Caenorhabditis elegans: one gene and its partner. The protein of the gene in region 2 interacts with the protein of the main gene of each other region in a pairwise test. Each region holds a gene or a part of one and is shown on either strand. Other genes may lie near its edges. The genes, in order: cul-1 and skr-8.

Region 1 (14,747 bases), on a different chromosome or scaffold from region 2:
TTTCGTTGCGAGACCCGCACGGTACAAATGCGCGCATTTTTAAAACTGAATAAAACCCACTTCGAGAAAACCGAACATTTTTGGATGGGAAAGAGAAAGACACCCACACAAAAATGATGAATAACAAGAAATAAATAGAATTTAAACAAAATTTAAATAAAATCACAATTCCTCGCTTTTAGGTTTCGGTGTCACAATGACGGAATCTTCAGTGTCGGACACGTAACCAGGCTCATTTGTGTATTTTTGAGGGAATACGACTAATGGGTAAAGGGTGAAAGCTTCAACGTCGAGGGGCTCGAAGTGTAACGACCAATCCTGAAAACAATAGGTATGTAGGTAGGTAGGCAGGTATGTAGGTATGTAGGTATGTAGGTATGTAGACATGCAGGTCTGTAGGTATGTAGGTATGTAGGTATGTAGGTATGACTTTTCCATATGTTATCGGTTTTTCAAAATATATTTGGATTTTCCAAATATTATCGAAAGTCATTAAAGTGTTTATATTCTTGCGCAAATTTTCAGGCTTACCTTATTTGGATGTTTATTAAACATAATCGGCAAGTATTCATCAACTGGAACCATCTTCTTCAACGGATTCGGTCTCAGAAGCTTCCGCGCTCCATTGAGAGATAACATGTAACCTAGTGTCCAATATGAATACTCAACAGACGATAAATGTCTGTGCTGTGAAATCCATAATTCTTCATTTTCAGATTGCTTTTTCCGTCCCAAATAAATCAAATCCCACGGCTTATGTGAAGCGTCTAGATCTTGAAGAACCTCCCGAATTCTGGTCAAACCGTCGTGTGAAAATCGGAGATCATCCTCGAAAACTATCACTTTCTCGTAGTTGTGTTGAACGACGTCTTGCCATACTCTGGAAGAAAATTTCGATGGTTTTTTTGTTTTAATCAGTTTTGTTCATTTTTACTTTTCAACTTTTCATGACAATGCAGAAAATGCCTTTTTTCCAAAAAAGTACATAATTTTGAGAAGAAAATGGTGCATCGAGTACAAAAGTTGGAATTCCGAGACTAGGCCAAAATGTATACTATATTTTACGAAAAAATTGTTTGGAGTCAAAAAAGTAGTGTAGAATTTGTCCTATTAAACATAGCTCTTGATTTAAATATTTCAAAATTTCGTCGCATTTCTGGTTTTTCCCAGTTATTTATCTTTTTTTGACAATGTTCCAAAAAAACATTATTTAAAATAGTTCGTGTTTCATGAACACAAAACATAGTGCATCGATTAAAAATTTTAAAACTTTAAAGCATTTTTTGACATTTTCAATTGTTACATAAGTTGTTCTCTCCCACCTGTAATGGCTCAAAAAGCATCCAATTTCTCCATTTTTCATGGGCCTTTTACTAATTGGGTCTAGGTATCCTTCCAGTATCTGATAATTTTTTAGCTCTTCCGGCAGCTCATCAAGCTTTTGTCCATCGGTAGCTTCTAGAAGAGAATATTCGATTCCAAGAATATCAAAGATTTTCTGCATTCTGTTGAGACGTTCCTGTCGGCGTTTCAGGTTTACCAAGTAGATTCTGTAAAAAAGATTACTTTTAGGTAGATCAAATTGATAAGTTGAATATGGTGCATAGGTATTGATGGTTTCACACATCGCCTTGGTGCAACACACTAGTATGTTAATTAATACTTTTGAAAAATTAATAGTTTGGGTCTCGTTAAGTATTGGTGGCAAAGCCGCAAAAATAAATGTTTCTAATCATATGTTCTTCTAACTTTCAAATTTTCCACGTCAAATATGATATACTCACTTATCAACACCCTGCTTCGTGGCTTCTGATTGCCATGGTCTCACACTTCTGGAAACAAATGGAAGTGGCCGCTCATCGGCTAAAAAATCCGCAATTTGATATCGAATCGTGCTTCTTCTCTCTTCAATATCCTTCTCCGGATTCACAAAAAATCCATAATTGACTTGATTGTCAGCCCATAACTGTATACCCATATTCTTGGCAGACACCACAAAAACTTCCGACGGATCATCGGCACCTTCATAATTTGGAAGATTATCCTTATCAAATGTTAGATAAGATGAATCAATAGTTGTCAAATCAATTGCCAATGGAAGTGAAAATGACAGAATTTCTTCGCGAACATTATTTTGATTTATGAGGGTTTCAGAAGGTTCATCGATGTTGGAGGATCCATCTATTGATTGGAAAAGTGGGGATACTGCCACGTGGGTTTTTTCGTTGAATAGAAACTGAAACTTTTGGAACTGGATTTAAAAAAATATATATTCGATTTTTTTTAAATCTGAAACTTTCCAATTTTTAATTTAGACTTGTCAAAACTAGATATATGTATACAGACTAACTATAATTTAGACTTTGAAAATTGTTGGAGATGCGTCAAATATGGTGCATTTAGTCCACAACTAAAATATGTGCTGAAGCCATCTTCAATGCACCATCACTTGAGTTTTTCTTAGCAAATTCCGTCAAACGATGCACCATATTTGACGCGCAAATCTAATTTGTTACCTATTTCTCACCTGAATCAAATTCATCTCAGTTGGAACTGTATCTCCTGAAATAAGAAGACAACGTTCAACTTTTTGAAGTCTCGCATTCCTCAATCCGCTTTCCAGCCAATTTTCTGATTCTTCGATTATTTTGACAGATTTGAAGTATTGTTTTGTAGAGTCTAGCCACCTGAAAACTACGTTTTTTGGAAAATTATCTGACAAAATATTTTCCATGCTACAATTTGTTCGTTGCCATTTTTTTTCAGCAGTTTTTTCAAAAAGTTGCAGGAGCACGAAGTTAAGGAGCCTAAGCGTAAACCTAAGCCTAAGCGTACGCCTGAGCCTAAGCCTGATCTTATGCCTAAGCCTAAACCTTAGCCTAAGCCTAACCCTAAGCAAAATCCTAAGACTAAGCCTAAGCTTAAGCGTAAGCCTAAGCCGAATCTTAAGCCTAAGGCTAAGCCTAAGTCTATGTCTATACCTAAGCCTAAGCCTACGAATAAGCATAAGCCTAAGCCTAAGCCAAAGCCCAAGCCCAAGCCTAAGCCTAATTGATGGAATCAATTTGAAACTTCAGACTTAAGCTTCTTGGTGGCCTATACGACTCTCTGTTAAATTTCGCTTTGATCGGCCAACGGGAACCCTTTGAAAAATGAAAAAACGCTATAAACCCAAGCCTAAATAGCGTCAGCTAACGCTCGCCACTGACGCCAAGCCTAAACCTGCGCCTAAGCCTACGCATGGGCATAAGCCTAAGCCTAAGCCAAAGCCTGAGCCTAAGCCTACGCCTACGCCTAAACCTAAGACTAAGCTTAATCCATGTTCCTGTGGTTTGCAAGTTATGCGCCTTTAAACCAACCATTTAACCTGATGAATCGTCGCATCTTCCTTGCTTAAAATGAAAATTTCCACTTTAATCCTATCCTTTGGATAATCCAAATTCTCCAGCCAACCCAAAAAGTATGGAATTGCGTGGGCGTGCTCACCGAGCCCAACCCCTATATACACCGGCGGATAAATGTGCCGAACGTCTCCCTCATCTGGCTCAGCTCCCGGAAATAGAGCCCACGAGCTCAGAAACACGTGGAAGAGTAATAAGCAGTGTAGAAATTCGGTCATATATTTTGTGAAGGGATTCTGGAAACTTTTTATCGATTTTTTTCAAAAAAGTTCTAAAAAATATTAGAATAGTAGAATTTTTTAAAGTTTCCATTATACAGTGAAGATTGGAATTTCTAATTGCGATTTTTACGCCAAAAAATAAGATATCCCGGTCTTGAAACGACAATTTTCGTTAAACGCAAAAGGATGTGTGCCTTTAAAGAGTACTGTAATATCAAACTTTCGTTTCAGCGAAATTTTAATCGATATTTCAAAGTTTTTCTCACAATTTTTGCTGAAATTTATGTACGTTTACTGTTATATTTTTGAAATAAACAAATGTTTAAAGTAAAACTTTTTAAAAAAATCGAAGAAAATTACACAAAAACGAAAATTTGAAATTACAGTACTCTTTAAAGGCGCACACCTTTTCACATTTAGCAAAAATTTGTCACGTCGAGACCGGGTACGGAAAATTTCGCGACTGTGTAATAAAAAACAACTGAAAATTCAAATTTCCCGGTCAACGCAACGTGGAAAGTTAGCCTTCAAATAGTAGTCTATAAACAGAGAAGACTGAGCAAAGCATTAGTGTGAAGACTCAGAGCAGTGGGAAAAAGTGCATCTGGTGAACAGACGGAGGGGTCAGAGCAGCAGTAGTGTCTCATCCAAATTGTCTTGTTGTAATAATTCGTCATCGATTTTTTTGTTGTCTGTGGTTCAAGTGACTACTCACCTTTTTGCATTTGGCCTTGAAAAAACTGAAAAATTCACTTGGAAGTTGAATTTTTTTTTAATTTTTCCGAAAAAAGACGAAAAAAAATCAAAAAGGTTTACCGAGTATACGGTTTTTCGAATATTCTACACACAAACGATTTACAAAACCCAGGACCATTTACCAGAGAGCGCAAAATGAAGCCAGGACCCGCTTCTGTAAAGAAGAACAATCGAATAAGGAGGGACTTGGAGAGGAGAATAAGTAATAGAATACAGATGGTGTTGAAGTTTTCAAAAACACGGATATGAAGGGAAGAAGAGGGTGGAGAATAAAACTGGGCGAAAAAAGTAAAGGGGAAAAATAGTTTTTAAAAGAGAAAATAGAATATTTAAAATGAAATGAATTAGGCGAGGTACTCATAGAGATCTTTTTGTCCTTCTGTACGGAGCATATATTCCTTTTCGATGAGTGATCCAATGCATCTCTTGATCATTTCAACCTTTGGCTTGAATCGACCGGAAAGTTGTGTGATCACCTGCAAAAATATCATATTTAGAGGGTTTTAGATGTTTTTTCTTTGAATTTCCAAGTGGAGTTTTTTAAAATTTCAAAGAAAATTCGATTTTTCCGGTGATTTTTTTTTTTCAAATTTCATGGAAAACTTGATTTTCCACGTGGATATCATCTTTTATTTTAGGGGTTTTAATTTATTTCTTCAGAATTTTGTGTTGAAAATGCACTACGAAAGCTCGAAAATTTTGAAGATTTTTTTTTCAATTTTTACAGAGTTTCTACCAATTTCAGGTGAACTTTTTTTTTGAAAATTGAATTTCCAAGAGAATTTTATCGAAATTTCATAAGAAATTCGAATTTCGACGCGTTTTTTTTACGAAAATGTATAGAAAATTTGAATTTCCACGTAGATTTTATCAACAAATTATGAAAAACTCGTTTTTCCATAATCAGATTTTTTTCGAAAGTTCATTAAAATTAAATTTCCACGTAGATTTTATCGATTTTTTTCGAAAATTTGAAATTTCCAAACGAACCTCTGTCATAAGCTGCTGATGCTGTACACGTTTGCGAGTTTTCATGATTCTTACGATGCAAGCCTGAAATTATTGAATTTTTCTCTCCAAAACCGCCGATTTCTCATCAAAAACTTACACTAATCACGCTCTTCCGATCCTCCTCAACATTTTTCTGCACATTTTCCGTATCACGCACGGCGTCCTGCTTCATCGTGAATTTTGACAAATCGACACGAACTTTCTTGTTCATGTAGGCTTTGTTGAGGCTTACGGTCGCCGTCATCGGTACTTCATCCTCTTTTTGGAGTTCTGTGTCCGCTTTGAGCACAAGATTTTTGATGAGAGAGCCGACAATGGCTGGTGCTGACTTTTCGTCCATTTTTGTGGCAGCGGCGATTTGTTCGACAGTGTACGAGTCCTGTTCGTTGAACAAAAGCATTGTGCACATTTGAGCAGTTGTGGCCTGGAAAATTTTAGGTTTTTAGCTGTTATTCGATAAAATCCAAGTGAAAATTCAAATTTTAGCTGGGTGGCAGATAGTAAAATTTTGGACTTTTTTCAGGCATTTTCTTCCGGATTTTTAAAAAATATTTTTAGATAGAAATTCCACGTTTAAACTTACAGTAAACACATATTTCTTGGGAAAAGCTGTAGAAGTGATCTCTCCACGACTCTGCGAGTAAACCCACGTGAGCCGACGTCCATTGAACTTCTCATTGTAGAATTGTCCAAAGATCTCAATAGTCTTCGACAGCTGCTGTGGAAGAGTTATTGGTGTCGTTGGGAAAGTCGGCCATGAGCCCGAACTGAGCACGAGAACATTGAATTCAACGGATTTCTGGCCGAGCATATCCGCTTTCTTTTCCTTGAAATCCGCGGTTAAATCCTTGCTGACTTGAGTATCGTTGACCATTTTCGAGAGACGGGCGGTATACTCGTACCCGCACATACTCTTGAGCTTCGTGATAAAGTTAGCCTCGGCTTCATCACTTGCTGAGAGTTCACTGATAAGTCGTTTGCTGAACATTTTCGTGTAGAATTTGGAGAATACATCCTTATCGTCAATGTACTTGAACACAACCATCTGGAATAGAAATTTTAGAATTTTGAGCTAACTTTTTAGAAATTGGGTTTTCATTTCTATGGAGGTTTGAAATATTTTAAATCTTTTAATCCTTTAATATGGCAATTTTAGATAAAACCTCAAATTTTCCCGTATGTCGGAAATTGATTTTTAATTGATTACTGGCGTTTTTCGTTGATTTAGGTCGATTTATAGCCACATTTAAACGTCAGAAAAAGGTAAATAATTGAAAAGTTGGGAAAATTGCCGTATTTTTCGAAATTTTGAGAAGCCTCGATATGAATCGATATGAAAAAATCGGTATGAAAAACGATATGAAAAAAAGGAGAGGAATCTGTTTTTTTTTTTCAGCGAAAATCTCAAATTTAGCCAACTTATCAGTTTCGCAGTGTGCACTCATCGATCGAAAATGTTCCTCAATCAACGAAATAAACAACCAAAATATGCAAAAAGTTGGTTAAATTTCAAATTTTAGCTGGAAATTACGCCATTTTGAGAAAAAAAAAAGCGAGAAAAACCTACAATCTTCGTCTGCAACTCCTCGAGCTCCGCCTCATCGGGCATCTTCGAGCTTTTTCTGAGCAGTTGATCACAATATCTGGCAAGAAGCTCCGCGGACTTTGTCAACTGAGCCTGTGGCGGGGCACGTTTAGTGACGGCATTATTATTGATAAAAGAAGTCGCCGCCTTATCGAGTGATTGCATGAATCCTGGCTCATTTTTGAATGATCGATTGACAAGGCTTTGATAACGTTCATGAACCTCCAGAAGCGTCTTCACGTAGAGTTTCGCGTCGGTTGCCGCCTCCATAGCAACTCTTTCCAACGCCTGGTGACCCTCCTTTGCGATGTGATTCTCCAGGGATTTTCTGAGCTCGTCGAGTCCATTCGGCACTCTATCGCAAAGCTTGAACATTCTGGAAAGGTCATCGTCTCGTTTATCGACAAGAAGACCACCGAAGTGTCTCTGGAGGAAGTCAAGCTGATTAGAGATGAGCACAGATTCACAGCAAGTTGCAAGTGGAGTTTTTGTGGAAGAATTCAGGTAGAGTTGACAGCGATCATCCTCTTGATTAAGTCTTGTCTCCACTTTAATCATGTAATCTGTCACATTTCCTCCGTTGCTCAGGAAATTTGCCGCCTCTTGGGTATAAAATCCGCGGGTCGCCTCCAAAAACTTGACTTCGAAGAATTCCTTGTAAACGGCCAGCTTCTTGGTCTCCGCGTCCTTCTTCGCATCGGTCTCCGAATCGTCAACACCCAACTCCACAAGACACTCGACAACTCCAGAAATGTATCGGCTGTTGATCATGGATCCGGTTCTCTCGGAACGAATCAGCTCGAGCATCGCATCAATCACCTTATCCTTAAGATCATTGAACAAGTTACGCTTCCAGACGACCAACGCAAGTGTATAAACCATGTAAATGTTCTCATGGCCCTCGTCGAGCTCACGTCTGATCCAATGACGATTGAGGTAGGCAAAAATACCATCCATCACCTTCGACGAGATTCGGAAGTTCTCCCATTCAGTTGTGTAGTATTTCAGAAGATCCTCGCCCGACAACTCGGCGCCCTTTTCACAAACAGCGATTACGTACGCTTTTACATATTCCTCAACACGCTGGTACATCTCGTGACCGACAAAATCCGCGCCAGCGGTTCGTGCTGGAGTTGAAGATTCTGCTCGACCGTCTTCGCCGTCTCGGCGGCTTGTGGACAATGTTATCGATGTGCAGTAGTCATAGACGCTTCTGAAAATTAAAGATTTTATTGAGTTTCTGTGGAATTTCGGGGGGAAATCTTACGTGTAAAGAGTCATATAGTCTTTTGGCGCCATATTTTCTCTGCGATACGCTACATCAAGTCCATCTTGTAATTTCTTCCAAACCACCTCGGAATCACACGTCATTCTTCTCGGTTCGCTATTTGTCATACTGAAAAACACATTTTTAAAAAATAATTGTCGATTAAAATCAAGGGATTTGTCAATTTCGCAAGAAACAGAGGAACGAGGAAACAAGGGCCCAAACGCAAACGCGCTCCAATCCAAAATCATCATGTGTTGGGAAAAAGTCACCGAAGGTGGAAATAATGGGCTTGAAATTGAGAAAATTTATGAGATCCCGGAAAAATAGATGTTTTCAAAAAAATTGGAAAACTGGAGCAAAATTGGGGGAGAAATATAGATATCCTGGAAGAATAGAAAAAAAAGACGAAAATCCAGAGCCATCACTGAATGGGGATACTTGTGAGCCAGCAGACGTTAGAAATGACTCGATAGTGAGCCTCCGACTGGAAATTAAGAAGACGCGCTGAAAATCGCGGGAAGACAGTAAATCGATTGCCCTCGGACGCGATTCTCACCGCAAATCGATAAATTTAACTGGGAATTGGAGGGAAAATAGGAGATTTTCTAATTTGCTAGCCTGGGAAAAGGGGAAATTAAATAAATACATAAGGAAATTGTTCCAGCGATAATTCTAGCTTTTCAAGTGATACTGGGGAAATAAATTAAATTGTTCTTAACAGGAGATTTTCAAAAACTCTGTGAATTTTGGAAAATTTTCAGATGAAAGACACCTAAATAATAATAATTTTAGACTATTTCATTTTCCCCGGGACTCAGGAATTTCCAAGAACAGAAAAAAAGCGAATTTCAGTTGATTTTTCAGAGCCCATTTCAGTGAGCTAAACACCCTTGGAGACGGAGACTGCGCGACACAAGCTAGAGACGCCTCATCTTGTGTCTTCATCGATTCTTAAAGAAATTCTGGTGAGTACAATGGTTCTGTTAGTGCACAAAAGACAGCTGAGATGGCGGGATGATCTGGAAAAGAAAGGTCACAGGAGGGAATGATTAGCGGCTGTGCAATGAACGGGCGGAGTTTTCTAAGGTTTTAACAATAGCAAAGTTTGTTTTTTAGGTGTTTCGATGTGCAAAATACACGAAAGCGAATTTTTAATAGTTTAAAGTTGAAAAACGCGTTTTCATTCGAGAAAAACTGGAGAAAACATGCATTTTATGCAGAAAAAAAAGTAAAAAAAGAATTCGATAAAACAACAGGTGGAAAACAGATTTTTAACTGTACATCGATCCTGGCGATGCCCAAAGGAAATTTTAATTAGTGGAAGTAATAATCGAAGTACTGTAGAACTAGGTTTTTTAAACAGGAGCCCATAAAACTGTAATCATTTTTTATATTTCTATTGCGGAAAAGAGGAGAAATTATTCTTTCACAAATAAATAGACAAAAACTGAAAAAAAATGAACAAAAATCGCTGTAAAACTCGAAACAGTTCTTGGCGGGACTCGGTAAACTTATTAGTTCGTGCGCCTTTAAAAAGATACTGTACCTGGAATAACAAGAAAAAACAACATTAATTAAATCTAAGAACATTTTGTATTCTTACAAGACTTACATGATTTATCAGAATATGTTGCAACTATTTGGTATAAAATAGGAAATAAATAGTTTTAGAATTTTCACCGTAATCATATGATCGGTGAACAACGGCCGTGAAAAATAAAAAATATTTTAAAATGTGAATAACAAAAAACCAATACATAAAAGGATTGAATAAATAATTAAATTTATTTCAATATTTCGAAAAGCTACATTTCTCTATTAGCTACACAGTTTCAATCGATTTCGTGGTCAGAATCAGTATGGAAGAAATTCAAGCGATCACAGAAGGAAAAGTGAGTTTCTCTGAGCATTTTCAGCCGGAAATTCACAATTTCCCTCAATTTCAGATAATCGCAAAGCGTTGGAAAATCGTTGAAAAACTCGGCGAAGGCGGTATGGGTGCGGTGTTCAAAGTACGAGATCTGACCCGCTTTCAGACATACGCCGCAATGAAAGTCGAGGGAGACGTGAGTGACGGCGGGGTTCTGAAGCTGGAGGCTCACGTGCTCAAATCACTGGCTCCACTGCCGTTTTGTGCAAGATTGATGGATGCTGGCGATCGAAAATCGTATTGTTTCATGGTGATGACTCTTCTTGGCAAGGATCTGATGGCTCATAAACGGGATGCTAATACTCCGAGATTCTGTGAGCAGACGACTCTTCGTCTCGCGATGGCAACGTTGTTTGCTATCAAACAGATTCATGAAGTGGGATTCACTCATCGGGATATTAAGCCGGGAAATTGTGTGACCGGGGTTCATGGGAGTGACGCCAAAAACGTCTATCTTATTGATTATGGTAAATTTTTACGAATTTTGACGATCCCGTTACTCGACACGACAATATTTTGTTTGATGCGAGAAGGTGTGCGCCTTTAAATGAGTACTGTAATTTTTTTTAACTGTTTTCCTTATGTTGCGTTTTTTCTCGAAAAAAAAACACTTTCCAGATCCATCCTCTGAATCATGAAAAACTGAAATGTACAGTAATCTTTAAAGGTGCACGTCGCATTCAACACACATGTTTGTCGTGTCGAGACCCGGCACCGTATTTTTGATTCAAAAATCACACCAAACTTCGTTCAGGAATGGTCCGTCAATTCACCGCCAAACGAGAGAACGGAGAGACCGCACTCCGCAGAGCTCGATCCGGCGAGCAACTATTCCGTGGAACTCCTCGCTATTGCAGCATGAACGTTCACAATCGGAAAGAGCAGGGACGCGTCGATGATCTCTGGTCGTGGCTCTACATGCTCATCGAGCTTCATTGTGGGCTCCCGTGGCGCCGACTGACCGATGAGAAGGAGATTATGGACGCGAAGATTGCATGCTCCATGGAAACTTTGTTGAAAGGGTGTCCCAAGGAATTTGCGAATATTCACAAGTACCTGGAGACACTGGAATACAAGAGCCGCCCGGATTATTTCGGCCTGTGGAGCGAGTGCTTTGCCGGTTTCAAGAGAGTCCGTGGATCGTTCTTTGGCCGATTCGAGTGGGAGCTTGGGAAGGGCGGTGGTGAGGAGATGTTCACGGCTCTGTCGATCAGTGAGAAGAGAGCTCCTAACGATTATAAGGTGGCGACGAAGATGCAAATGGCGAAGAAGATCTGGCCGTATGCGGATTCTGCTCATTTTAAGAAGAAGATCCTCAATCTTTGAACTATTTCTGAACTGATTGACCCCTGAAACTATGAATTTGTGAAAAAAAATACAATGAGCAATAATTGATGTTTATTACATCTGGGGGACGGGGGAAAGGGGCATTCACTAGAATATGAGTAGTGTGCGCGAGATGGTTGAAGATAATAATGTTAAGGAAATAAATTATAGATTTTGTTGTGGGGGGAGGGATGGTATTGCTCAAAAAAAAAGAAAAAAGGAAGGATTATTGGTTTGGTTTTACAAGAAAAAAAAAGAATAAGACGGTCTCGGAAACGGATAATCAGGAAGGCAGAGCGAGAGAAATAACGAATAAAAAGTGAAAGGAGCATTTTGACATGATCCTTCGTGTACGGAAAAGTGTACTTTTTCCGACACTACAAGTAATTTGTGTGGGGAGAAGGAGGAGGAGGAGGTATTGGCGGTGTGAACTTTACCCACAAGAGGGGATACAAAGAACACACGGTTTTTTCTAAAACTAGAACATCACATCTTGTTGTTTATGACGGAATTTCGGAATTCCACGAGATTTTTGTGGTTGTTGTAGATGGTGGCATGGGGGAAGGGGGGAGAAGCGGATTTTTGATGAAAAGAAGGAAGAGAAGGAAGAAAATAAGAATATTAAAATGAATATATATTGGGGAAACATTATATAAAGCACTGAAAAGCGCAGGAAGAGCGCATATAGATATGATTACGGGGGGCTCTGAGAGTGCTGCTGATCACGTGGTGTGCCTTGTTGAGACGGTGGTGGCGGTGGTGGTGGACCAGATTGTTGACCAGATGGATTTACACCTTCAAAGCTTCATAAACGGTTAGAAATTTGAACTTTATAAACATTTAAAACATTACCTTGATTGCCTTGGAACTGCTGTGGAAGCGAATTCTGGCGGTGCATTTGTTGCTGTTGCTGTTGTTGTTGTTGCTGATAGTTTGGCATTGTACGGTAGTCAAAGTATCCCGACGTCGGGAATCCTTGATCAGATCGCTCGCCCATAAGACTTTGTTGAGGATGTTGGTTCTGTTGCATTGGCATCTGTTGGGGCATTATCATCGGATAGAATACTTGCTGAAAATGATTGAAAATTAGATTTACGTTTTTTTCTCGGTTTTGTTCTTTTATAGAGTGTGAGACATTTTCAAATATTTCTCAAAAAATGGTAATTTTAAATAAAATCTCAAAATTCAATTCAAAAAAAAAATCTATCCAGAAAAATTGCCGAAATAGGAGATCTCAGCTAAAATTTGCCAATTTTTCGTTGATTTGGGCACATTCAAGTTCTACAGTCGGAATCGAAACTTTCTCGCTATTTTTAAGAAAAAAAGTATGAAAAAAAACATTAGGCAATTTTTTCTCCTTTTTCACTGGGCGATTTCAGCTGTAGAACTTGCAGATCTACAAAAATTTAGCAGAGTCAATCACAATTTTGTTCTGAAACTTCTGAAAGAAAGGAAAAAAAACAAGAAAACCAAAAATCAAAAATACCACTGAAAAAAGGAAAGAAAGAGAGAGATTAAACATGCCTGAGGCTGCTGATAGTAATTAGGGATCTGCGGATGCATTTGATGCGGTCCCTGCATCACCATATACTGTTGAATGTGTTGCTGCTGCTGCTGCATCATCTGTGGTGGTGGTGCTCCGACGTGTGGAGGAGCATGATGTGGTGGATGTTGTTGTTGCTGATGCTGCTGCTGTGGTGGTGGTGGTGGAGGAACAGCACCTGGTGGAGATCCGCTTCGTTGTCCCGACTGAGAGCTCGTCGATCCGCTGTGACTAGCGTTGCTGCTCGACTCGGCCTGCATGTTTCCGTTCTGAAAATAGAGTCACGGTCACAATATTGAAAAGCTTCATCTTATTAGGCACAGAAAGTTTGAAAGAGGGAAACATGCGAATAAGTTTAAAAAAAAAGAAATCTCACCTGTGGAGCACCGCTCATCTTTGGCAACTCGCCACGTGGTCCCGGAGTCGTTGGCTGACTATTCGGATGTGATTGTGGGCGACTTTGCTCTCCGGAGAATTGTTGTTGCTGCGGTTGTTGCTGTTGCTGTTGCTGTGGTGGTGGAGGACCCTGGTATCTCGGCTGCTGCTGCTGACCCTGTGGAGGCATCATGTACACTTGTGGCTGCTGATATCTCTGTTGATAGGCACCCTGTGGAGCTTGCTGTGGCATCATCTTCATTTGGTATGGAGCAGCTTGCTGCATCTGGCCTTGGTACTGTGAATGATAGAATTGCTGAAAAAATTTAGAATTTTTGGAATTGAGAAATCAGGAATTTTAGATTAGGAAAAGTTTAAAATTCTAAAAATTCAAGGCCTTTAAAAATAAATGTTTTCCCTATTTCTACAGGGATATTCCAAATTTTCGGTTACCTGAGATGTGACTGGAACCATTTGTGGCGGTCCATATGGCATGTAGAGTGGCTGCTTCTCACGATACTCTCCATCTCTCAACTGATGATTCTGACCACCAGCCGCACTGGTTGGCACCTGATGCTGCTGATTTGGCTGCTGAGCAACAGTGACCGGAGTCGCAGCTCCCGGGCCATACATCTGTCCAGGAACACCTTGCATTGGGACATGTTGAATTGGGAATTGATGATTCTGTGGATAGCCGCCACCGCCTTGTTGCTGTTGTCCAGTCTGTTGCCACATCATCATCGGTGGTTGACCTTGATTTTGTGGGCCGCCCATGTGTGGTGGAACCATTCCCATTCCAGGAGCAGGTGGTCCTTGTTGTGGAGCCATCATTGCTGGATGTGGCTGTTGTTGTGGATGATATTCTGAAAATTTTAGAGTTAAAACTCCGTCTTGGCAGCCAAAATTTTTGTATCAAAAATTGATACCTATGTGTATTTAGAAAAATATTTATTTTGGTTTAAAAATTCCCTCTCAAATGACACAATTTGAGATCTTTCTCAAACCTTTCAACAAAAATTATCTTTTTTCTACATACATTTCTGTATTAATTTTTGATACAAAAATACTGAAAAAAAGCCGTTTTGTTCGTTTTCCTACCATTTTGCACTGGAGTCGTCGCTGTTGGAGTCGCCGGAGCCACACGTGGCTTGAACTCTGGAGCATTGATGTTGAATTTGAACGACGATGACTTCGAAGTGATCACTGAATCATTCTCTGAAGTAACGGAAACATTGTCGTCTTCCTGATGCTTTTCCGCGTCGTTCTGTACGTTTTGCACTGGTGCAGCTGCCACATCGACGCTTGTGGATGGAGCTTCTTCTGGAAATT
Region 2 (11,449 bases):
TTTCCCCCCGTTATCATTATCATTATCAGTATTCCTTCCACCTTGTTTTAGACTCGTATTTTCCATTTTCAGATGGTGAACAACGTGCTGATATAGTGTTTCGTCGACACAGAAATCATATTAGTTAATGTTATCACAAATATGATGGAAAACATGATGAATCAGCGGAAAACCCCTCCAGGTTAATTTTGGACGGAAACAGGGTAACGCGGGGTTAGGTAAAAATCTGCTAAATGTACTATGTAAAAAAATGAATTGAAGACCAAATCGCCTCTAGCGGGGCACAAATCAAATTTCTAGACCCAGAATCGTACTCCATAATCCTAAAAAAAAAAATATCAATCCATTTTTATGAAAATTCTGCCAAAAATCCGAAATTTTTTTTTTGCAAAAAAAGTGCTGTCATATGTATGTAAACAAAATGAACTGAAGACCAAATCGCCTCTAGCGGGGCCCAAATCGAATTTCTAGACCCAGAATCGTACTCCATATTAATTTTAAAAAAAGCTATCCATTTTTATGAAATTTCTGCCAAAAATCCGAATTTTTTTTTTTGCAAAAAAGTGCAGTATGTAAAAAAATGAGTTGAAGACCAAATCGCCTCTAGCGGGGCCCAAATCGAATTTCTAGACCCAGAATCGTACTCCATATTAATAAAAAAAAAAAAGCTATCCATTTTTATGAAATTTCTGCCAAAAATCCGAAAATTTTTTTTTTGCAAAAAAGTGCAGTCTAAATGTAGGACCAGGTGGCAGACTTAACGATTGGCAATCTTCGAGATTTCATTGTGGTCGTTGGAGAGCAGCTGTTCATTGTGTTGCTCAAGAGTCAGAGGACTTGCCTTTTGTGCAACTTGTCGATTAATTTTTAGCACAACGTCTGTAGTCTGGGCACTGCCTATAATTACCCATTCATTCATTCTCGAATTTTTCTTCAATGCGAGCAGTCGTTTCTCTTTTCTTGTCTCATTTCTTAATGTTTTTTTTCTATTCTGTACTTTTTTTTAGTACATTGAAACTATCTTGTTAAGATCCTGTCTAACTTTTTTTGATTCCAGTTTGCAGGATAACTATTTTAAATTTCCTTTTGACTCCACCAATTTTTGAAAAATTTTATTTTTTGAATCTCACCGTTTCAAGGTCGATCCATAGCCACTAGATTTGTCGGTTTGGCCTATAGTTCAGCCACTTCCCGTTTAAATCTTCCCATCAGTTTTGTGGAGGGTTCTTGTTTAAATTTCCTTCATTAGTTTCGAGATGAACGGTTACCATAATAGATGGTCTATTTATAACGATTTTCTGAAACCGTAAAATTTTAACGAATCGATTATACAGGGTGAGTCAAAATTATGGTAAGTAGTTCCCGTGCTCCATACATTTTTCCAGAAACACAAACAACTTCTAACTATACACATTTTATTCACCGTAAAAAACACTATAGAAAAACATTTTAAAGTTCGAAAATATCTCCATTAGCAGCAACACAGGCCTCCAGACGCCTAGGGAACGAGTCGACTGTGGCGCGCAAGTAGTTGATATCCAACTCGTCCCATGCCTTCTTCAGTGAATCTTTCAACGAATCGATATTCCTATGCGGTTTTGAACAAGCTTTTGCTTCGAGGACACTCCATACTGAGTAATCCATCGGATTGAGATCCGGGGATGACGGTGGCCATTGATTGAAAGCGATGAAGTCCGGGAAGTTGCTTTCACACCATGCCTGAACGTTCTTGTGCTTATGAGCAGGCGCCCCATCCTGCTGAAAAGTCCATTTTGTTTTTTTGAAATGCTTCTTGACCCAGGGCATGAGTTCCGTCTTCAACATATCTAAATAGTTGTTTCCGTTAACTTTTATCCCTTGTGGAACAAAAATGAGTGGAGTCTTTCCATTAGCAGTGATTCCGGCAAAGACCATGATTCCTTTCGGGTAACCAGTACGCTGAACGCGGGAGTTTGGCTGAGTTTTTGCATAAACTCGATCATTTTGCGTATTAAAAGACTGCTCAATGCAAAATATCTTTTCGTCGGTGAAAAGTACCTTCCTGTGAGCTCCATTTCTGAATCTTCGGAGTAGATTCATGGCACGGTCTTTTCTCTTGATTTTAGCAGCTTCAGACAGAAATTGACAAGTAGATTTTTTGTAAGCCTTCAATTTCAAGTTGTTTTTTACCATTCGGCACAGAGAACTTTGCGAAATTTTCAATTCTCGGGCCATCGCACGGACCGACCGCCCGGAGTTGTGACGGAAGCGTCCACGAACTTTTTTTATCATCGCTGGTGTAGTGGCTGTGGGGGGTCTTCCGCGTCCGGATCTATCGGAAAAGTTGCCGAGCTCCTTGAACCGTGCAATGGTGGTAGAAACAAGTTTTTCAGACACTTTGAGCCGTCGAGCAATGCTCTTCGCCGCGACACCATTCCTATGAAAACGAACGATGGGTTCACGCATGGGTGACGCTCTCATACCTGCGAAAAAAAAATTATTTTTTAGGAAAAACGATGGAAAAATAAATGAACAAAACACGAAATAACATAATCAATTAATTTTGGCGGGGAGACCCGAACCACAGAACTTTCGCGCGCGCGCCTCGACTTACCATAATTTTGACTCACCCTGTAGTCAATTTCTTGACTTCATTTCCAGTGTCGTCGTATGCGAATATGAATCGTTTCCCATTTTTCATTGAAGTAATATCGATTAATTTTGGGTGCGCGTTGAGTCAGAGCACATTCTTATCCTTATTCTGTCTTAGCCATTCTTTCATTCTACCCAGCTGGTTCCCGGTGAGCTGGTCGTCTCTTTCTTTTCTCTTTTGATTCTCGGTTCAATTTTCCTCACTTGTTTTTAAGCTTATATATTTTCCGAAATTACAATTTAAATTTTCAGAATCTACCTAGTCATCACTATATCTGCTCCAGTTGCCGATGCTCCAGCTGCTGAAATCGTTTACAAGATCATTTCGAGCGATGGAGTTGAAAACAATCGAAAACTCTGAGCAATCTGATTGAAAATCTCGGCTACACCATCGAAAACATCGAGACCCGTGATCCAATTCCAGTTACAAATGTGAATAGAAAGACTATGGCGAAGGTTGCTGAATGGTGTGAGAAGCACAAAACCGATGCAATTCCAGAGGACAATATGAATGTTCTCAAGACTCTTACCATTCCAGAATGGGATCAGAAGTTCTTGAAAATTGAGGATGAAGCTCCTTGACATCAAGGGTCTCATGTACTTTGGGTGTAAAACTGTTTCCAACATGGCAAAGGGAAAAACAACTGCTGAACTCAGAGAGATCTTTGGAATCAATACGGATGAACAGGATGCTGCTGAGGAAACTGCACAGAGAGCTGTCGCCGAAGTTGTCTAATATTCTGATTGTTTCTGGATTTTTTTTTTGAATTGTATGTCGCCTTTAACAAAATTGCAAATCATTTTTAATGTAACCTAAAATTCCCCAAAAAATGAACATTTTCAACTTTTTCCCAGCATTGTTAGTATTTTACAATTCACTGTTACAAATTCAACATCACGTTGTGAAGTATATACTACATTAGTATTATTATTGCACAGCAAATCGGGGCAAATGAAATAACACAATTTGGAAGTGTGCTTGCTTTGTAATCCTACATTTCTAAATTTCGCCTGCCGCGTCTATTAAAAATAAAAGTTTTTTAAACTGTGTTTGTTCACTGATGTGTTCTGGTTTAAAAAACTAGAAAATTTTAATTTATTCGTATACTAATTGATTTTTTATTTAGTAACTCTGTAGAAGTTAGCAAAATTGGAAATATTACCCCGTTGCAGAAAGACTATAATATTTGGAGGCGTTTTTGTGAATTCACATAAATATTCGTTTGATGAGGATTGTTTTAGTCTTAAGGCAATTGAATACTACCCCAGTTTTATTTTCTTTTTAATTAAACCTTCAACATAGACATGTTCGCTCGGGTCTTTGTTGTGCTCTGATTACTATGAAGTGGACTAGTTTCAGTATCAAAAATTCCCCAAATTATACTGAGAAAATGAACATTTGGAATTTTTCATTTGGCGTATATCAGTTTTAGGAAAATTGCTTTTCAAAAATCAGTAATGTGAAACAGTAGAAGTTTTGTTAAAATTAAAAATATTTATGGTTGGTTCAAATTCGGCATGTGTCACAAAAAATGTGTTTGTTAAAAGAATTAGGAACAATTTCTTTGATAGAAAAGAAAAGACGTGCATCAAAAACAGTGATAAAAATTAGGCAACTTCAGCGGCAGCTCTCTGTGCAGTTTCCTCAGCAGCATCCTGTTCATCCGTATTGATTCCAAAGATCTCTCTGAGTTCAGCAGTTGTTTTGCCCTTTGCCATGTTGGAAACAGTCTTACACCCAAAGTACATGAGACCCTTGATGTCAAGGAAGTTTGAAGCCAGAATCAAATCAAACAAAGCTTCATCCTCAATTTTCAAGAACTTCTGATCCCATTCTGGAATGGTAAGAGTCTTGAGAACATTCATATTGTCCTCTGGAATTGCATCGGCTTTGTGCTTCTCACACCATTCAGCAACCTTCGCCATAGTCTTTCCATTCACATTTGTAACTGGAATTGGATCACGGGTCTCGATGTTTTCGATGGTGTAGCCGAGATTTTCAATCAGATTGCTCAGAGTTTTCGATTGTTGAACGGCTTTTTCACTCATTTTGGATACAACTCCATCGCTCGAAATGATCTTGTAAACGATTTCAGCAGCTGGGGCATCGACAATTGGAGCAGACATTATTGTAAGTAGAGAGGATCTGAAAATTTGAACGATTAATTGAATAAGATAAACAATATAAAACAAATGAATAAAAGCAAACGAAAAGAGGAAAAAACGACCAGCTCACAATGCAACTGATGAATAGAATAAACGATGAACAACTAAACAGTTGTGCACAAAATAAATCGATACATTTTTGTGGGAAATTGCCCAACCGTTGAGTGTTGACTGGTAACGATGTACGGTTGACAGATGTGATCGACTGGACGCAAACTCGAACCGATAAAATTTCAAAACAAACAATTGGAGAAATAACTATTAAAAATTAACTGTTACACCATTTTTTCCTTTTTTTTTGGGATGAAAAAATTCGCAAAAAATTTTCCCGTGGTGGAGAGTTGAACTCATGGAAAAAACAAACAAACAATTTAGTCACAGGCAACAAGTTCCTAGGGGGGAGGGGATGAGTTCAACTCTCCACCACGGGAAAATTTTTTGAGAATTTTTTCATCCCAAAAAAAAAGGAAAAGTTCATCTCCATATCAATGATGATGCTCCTGTCATGTACAGCTCACAATGCAACTGATTGATAGAATAATTGATGAATAACTAAAAATTGTGCACAGACTCAACGCGCAGACGAAATAGATTGATACTTTGCAGTGGGGAATTGCCTAACCGTTGAGAGATGACTAGGAAAGAAGTAATAAAGAAATTTAATCGACTGGGTTCAAACTAAAATCGCTGATATGCCAAAACTAAATATTGGAAAAAACTGTTTAAAATTTATTGTTTCAACACAGTGTTATGTAAGAAAATATCGTCAGCATAGTAGTTAGGATTAGTTGTACAGCCCTGCACTTTAAAACGACGATCTGGTGTGCGTAATAGAAAATGGTAGTAAAAAAAACCAGAAATGGGAAAAGAAACAGCAACATGGAAAAAATCAGAACACTGCTCGCCTTGAACAAAAAATTGCATAATGAAAGAATGGGTACCAAGCAATACAGAGTCTGCAGACGCTGTGCTAATAATTAATCGATGAACTGCACAATGGACAAGTCCCTGTGACTATCGAGGTGAACGAAGAACAGCAGCTAATACAGCTTCAATAGAGCAGTGTATGTACATTTTCCAATCAATAACTGATCTACAACGTAACCGATACGCTACATTTGCAGCGTTCTTGTCATATTCTGAATATTGTCCATTCGAAGAATTATTCTGTCGTTTGGCTCTCATCGCGAACAGTCGCATTTCATTTTTTCTCTCCTTTTCTTTATTTGTCTGATTTTATTTTAGTTTTTTATTTCCTTTTACCTTTCTGATCTTTTGAATGGTGCCCAACTACCCTTTTATAAAAAATTTTCTCTTAACGTTATTCCTCGCCAGTCTTCCATATTTTGTTACGATCTTTATCAATTCATATTTTTTAGAAACTACCCAAACTTCTAAAAATGATTGCTGAAGCCGCCGCGGTCGAAGTTCAAGCCAACGAGGCTCCAGTTGTTGCTCCAATCATGTACAAGGTCGAATCGAATGATGGAAAAGTGTTCGAAATCAGTGATGAAGCAGTTAAACAATCAAATATCCTCTCCAATCTGATCTCTACTTGTGCTCCAGAGGATGTTGCTTCAATGGATCCAATTCCAATCACAAATGTCACTGGAAATATCCTGAAGATGGTCATTGAGTGGTGTGAGAAGCACAAAGGAGAAGCGCTTCCAGTTGAAGATGACAGTGTTCCAAAGAATATAAATGTTCCCGAATGGGATACCAACTTCTTGAAAATCGACAACGAAGTGCTCTTCGACTTGATCGTTGCCTGCAACTACCTTGATGTGCCTGGATTAATGAATTATGGATGCAAGATGGTTGCCAACATGGCTATCGGAAAATCTCCTGATGAGTTGAGAATCATCTTTGCAATTCCAACTGATGAAGAAGATGAAGCTGCGGAGAGAGCTGCAAAGGAGAAGGCTGAAGCTGAGAAGAAGGCAATTGCTGACAAGGACGCAGCTGAACCATCAACTTCCAAATAACTTTCATGCTCTAATTTTTTCAAGTTTTTGATGACATTAATAAATTTGATTGTGATTCGACGTTTTTATAAAAATAATTTAAAGTTAAAATTACAGAAGATGTAGTCGAAAACATGAAAAATAGGATTACCTATAGAAAAAGAAAACCAACGGTTTTGGATTCATAATTTTAGGACTATGATAGCACTCAATTCAATTGTAGTTCAATTTTAATCATAAGAGTACATTACCAAACAATGTGCAAAACATTTGAATTCTTTTGTTAATTATTTCAAACGCTCGAACAATTATATTTATTTCTAAAAATCGGTTGTGCCTACATGACACGCCTACCTTAGTGTGACTCGTTTCCATGAAACAAATTTTTCGAGTTTTTGATCAACTAACACCTTTGGCTGCCATTACAATTTATGTAAATATGAATTTCAGATTTTTTTTTACTTTCAAGAAAATGAGGCCGAGCACAGAAAGAATAATACAAAAAAAATTTAAAAAAAGTTTTTATTCTGATAAAATCTACTGTTTCGAATTTATCGTTTCAAAAATGTAATGTTTCCAACTCTGTTGTTTTATTCCATCTTTTATTCAATTGAGCACAACAATTTGCAAGATATTTGGATTTCTTTGTTGAAGATTTCAAATAGTCAAACATTTATCATAGTTTTGGAATTTGACCCAAAAAAATCGAATAAATTTGAATTACGTGTAGTCTACAAATTGTTCGTTGAACATCTTCAAATCTTTTTGGCCCTTTTCGCGAATGTTTTTACAAAATATTACAAGCATTACTTTTCATTATTTCAAAGCTTACTTCTGCATAACGTTTGTATATTGGTTTTTTTTAAGGAATGTTCGTTTTCAAATCAACTGTAAGTAATAATATTACTAATAATTATTGAAACGGTTTACAGTTATATCGTACAACTTTAACACTATATCAACTGTTTAACAAATTCTAAGATTTTCTCTTTTATACGTACTAATTTTTCTTATTTTTTACATTCAATTTCAGTCTGAAATTTTTTTTTAAAAACTTATAATGACAGTCAAATGTATTTATTTACCAAAAACTCGAAAATAAAAGTGTGAAAGTTATTTGGAAGTTGATGGCTCAGCTGCGTCCTTGTCGGTGATTGCCTTCTTCTCAGCTTCAGCCTTCTCCTTAGCAGCTCTCTCCGCAGCTTCATCCTCTTCATCAGTTGGAATTGCAAAGATGATTCTCAACTCATCTGGAGACTTTCCAATGGCCATCATGGCAACAATCTTACATCCGTAATTCATTAATCCAGGCACATCAAGGTAGTTACAGGCAACGATCAAGTCGAAGAGCACGTCGTTGTCGATTTTCAAGAAGTTGGTATCCCATTCGGGAACATTGACATGCTTTGGAACACTGTCATCTTCAACTGGAAGCGCTTCTCCTTTGTGTTTCTCACACCACTCAATGACCATCTTCAGGATATTTCCAATGACATTTGTGATTGGAATTGGATCCATTGAAGCAACATCCTCTGGAGCACAAGTAGAGATCAGATTGGAGAGGATATTTGATTGTTTAACTGCTTCATCACTGATTTCGAACACTTTTCCATCATTCGATTCGACCTTGTACATGATTGGAGCAACAACTGGAGCCTCGTTGGCTTGAACTTCGACCGCGGCGGCTTCAGCAATCATTTTTAGAAGTTTGGGTAGTTTCTAAAAAATATGAATTGATAAAGATCGTAACAAAATATGGAAGACTGGCGAGGAATAACGTTAAGAGAAAATTTTTTATAAAAGGGTAGTTGGGCACCATTCAAAAGATCAGAAAGGTAAAAGGAAATAAAAAACTAAAATAAAATCAGACAAATAAAGAAAAGGAGAGAAAAAATGAAATGCGACTGTTCGCGATGCGAGCCAAACGACAGAATGATTCTTCGAATGGACAATATTCAGAATATGACAAGAACGCTGCAAATGTAGCTTATCGATTGCGTATTAGGTCAGTGAACAATTACCAGCTGCTCTTCTTTCAGCTCGACAGAGGACTTACCCATTATATTATCGACTGATTTTCAGCACAGCGTCGGCTGACTGCTCACTGTCTATAATTACCTATCATGTTCACTTGCATTCAATCTACATTATTTTCTTTAGTGGCAGGCACTCACTTTCAGTTTTTCCCTGTGATTTTTGCAATTCCGTACAATTTGTGTGTTGCGTGTATTTGGCATTTTTCCAAAAATCTTCCAACCATTTTACATCAGCATTATCATTAATATGAAGATGACATTTTATAAAGTTATGTTGAAACAGTAAATTTTTAAAATTTATTCTTCCAATTTTTTATTTTCAAATTTCATCGATTCTAGTTTTCTTCGAGTCGATCACATCTGTCAACCTTACATTTTTCCCAGTCATCCCTCAACGGTTAGGTAATTTCCCACAGAAATGTATCGATTTATTTTGAGTGCGCGTCGCGTATGAGCACATCTATTCAGTCATCCATCATTCGATACATCAGTTGCATTGTGAACTGGTTGTTTTTTTTAATAGTGATTTCTCAATTTTTCTCTCTCTTTTCTTTGAACCTTAACTTTTGAACCTAAATAGCTCATATCTGACATTTTCAGAATCTACCTAGTCATCACTATGTCTGCTCCAGTTGCCGATGCTCCAGCTGCTGAAATCGTTTACAAGATCATTTCGAGCGATGGAGTTGTATCCAAAATGAGTGAAAAAGCCGTTCAACAATCGAAAACTCTGAGCAATCTGATTGAGAATCTCGGCTACACCATCGAAAACATCGAGACCCGTGATCCAATTCCAGTTACAAATGTGAATGGAAAGACTATGGCGAAGGTTGCTGAATTGTGTGAGAAGCACAAAGCCGATGCAATTCCAGAGGACAATATGAATGTTCTCAAGACTCTTACCATTCCAGAATGGGATCAAAAGTTTTTGAAAATTGAGGATGAAGCTCTGTTTGATTTGATTCTGGCTTCAAACTTCCTTGACATCAAGGGTCTCATGTACTATGGATGTAAGACTGTTTCCAACATGGCAAAGGGCAAAACAACTGCTGAACTCAGAGAGATCTTTGGAATCAATACGGATGAACAGGATGCTGCTGAGGAAACTGCACAGAAAGCTGCCGCTGAAGTTGCCTAATTTATGGATGTTTTTTTAAAATTACGACAAATCGTTATTCCGCTGTTGACAATAATAAAGCTAACTAAGCAAATTTTACACAAACGACAAAAGTGAGCTGATGAGCCCACGGTGGGTTTATTTGCCTATTTCTCCCACATTCCACAGAGAAAATAAAGTTGTGAAAATTTAAATGTAAACTTAAAAAAAACATTTGGAGAGAATTTGTAATTGTTGCAATTTTTGAGACAACATCTTATCAAAAATTAAAACATTTCCTGTTTCAAGTGTTTCATAAAATTTTTTCAATTTTCAGATTTTCCATTGTACTTCTCCTTATCAGAGGATTCTAATATTTTTTAAAAAAATTTTATTTTCTGGGTTACTATTAATTTTCAAAAATTACCTATTTTAATAGTTTATTAATCTATATTTGTTAAAGTGTAGCTCAAGAAAGCTTTAAACTTATAAAACCTGATTGAAACTGCAGGAAATTCGAAAATTTAATAACAATTGTCAGCATGCATTATCAAAAAATTGTTGTTTTAATGTAAAGTGGCAATCACCAGCAAACGTTCAATTTCCAAATCCCTGAAAGAAAACTAACCAAATTTTACTCTGAAGTACATATTTTCTTCCTGCCTACTTGCCTGCCTGCCTTCTAGTCGAATTCTTCCTAATTCCACGTAAACATCAATTATAGTTTCAGTTGAATTTTTCTTAGTTCCCGAAATTTCATGAAAAAAATTTGAAACATATAAACTCAATCTCATTTTTGGTCGTACTGCTGATATTTTTTCTGTAATTTTTTTCAGACATATTTGAAACTGTAATTTTTTTTTCTTAATACTTTTAATTTTTGAAAACAATCCAGAGGTGGAGTATGGTTGACAGGAGTTCTGCTGTAAAATATAGAAATGGATCGTAACAAGGCAATTCTACTGTTTAAAAAATGTACCAGAAGTTTTCGATATTGCAAAAAAAAAGTTTTAAATTTCAGACATTTTTTTTTCGATTTTTAGAACAATTTTAGAGTACCAAAAAAGTTTGAAAGCCAACACAGATTTTTTGTTTGCGCGGGAATTCAAAAATTACTCAGTCAGGAATTTGAACTTTTTTTGCAAAAATGTAAAACCCACCATTAAACTGTGTACTAAAATGTAATGAAAGATTTCCAAATTTTTGAATAAAAACCACTTTTCAAAATAACATTACCACTTAAAATCCTTTAAAAAAACTAAATTTTCAAAAAGACAATTTTCAAGGAATGACATTTGTAAATTACTGTTTCAAGAGTTTTTAATTTGTTTAATTTTAAATTTCTTTTCAATACCTCTCTGATGTTTTCATTCTTGGGACTAAATTTAATTGTTTTGGAAAACTGATTTTCTTTTTTTTTGTTGATCAAATTTATTTTTAATGTTTCAGAGAAATTATAATCAATTATAAATAATGCTTTTCTAATAGTTTAACTTTGAGTTTGAAATTTTAAATAACTTAATTTTAATCTTAAAAATATTTTCACTCTTCCAGAA

What was found.
Region 1: the proteins of skr-8 (region 2) and cul-1 interact in a two-hybrid assay, tested with the Caenorhabditis elegans proteins (2 studies listed by BioGRID).

Annotation. Positions count from the first base shown.
Region 1 is NC_003281.10:10,464,860-10,479,606, reverse strand, and holds cul-1 (Cullin-1), read right to left. Parts: upstream 8,371-14,747; 5' UTR 8,370-8,370; coding exon 8,242-8,369; intron 8,188-8,241; coding exon 6,957-8,187; intron 6,435-6,956; coding exon 5,973-6,434; intron 5,814-5,972; coding exon 5,487-5,813; intron 5,432-5,486; coding exon 5,369-5,431; intron 4,855-5,368; coding exon 4,723-4,854; 3' UTR 4,478-4,722; downstream 1-4,477. Other genes in the region: D2045.9 (Glycosyltransferase 25 family member), read right to left, coding at 163-318, 532-880, 1,323-1,550, 1,785-2,236, 2,528-2,687, 3,360-3,619; D2045.5 (non-specific serine/threonine protein kinase), read left to right, coding at 10,104-10,136, 10,191-10,641, 10,929-11,500; atx-2 (Sm domain-containing protein), read right to left, coding at 12,195-12,295, 12,353-12,565, 13,021-13,312, 13,420-13,734, 13,872-14,281, 14,517-14,738. UniProt on the Caenorhabditis elegans protein: Probable core component of multiple cullin-RING-based SCF (SKP1-CUL1-F-box) E3 ubiquitin-protein ligase complexes which mediate the ubiquitination and subsequent proteasomal degradation of target proteins.
Region 2 is NC_003282.8:17,160,583-17,172,031, reverse strand, and holds skr-8 (Skp1-related protein), read left to right. Parts: upstream 1-6,197; coding exon 6,198-6,782; downstream 6,783-11,449. Other genes in the region: skr-12 (Skp1-related protein), read right to left, coding at 4,240-4,758; skr-9 (Skp1-related protein), read right to left, coding at 7,875-8,459; skr-13 (Skp1-related protein), read left to right, coding at 9,417-9,935.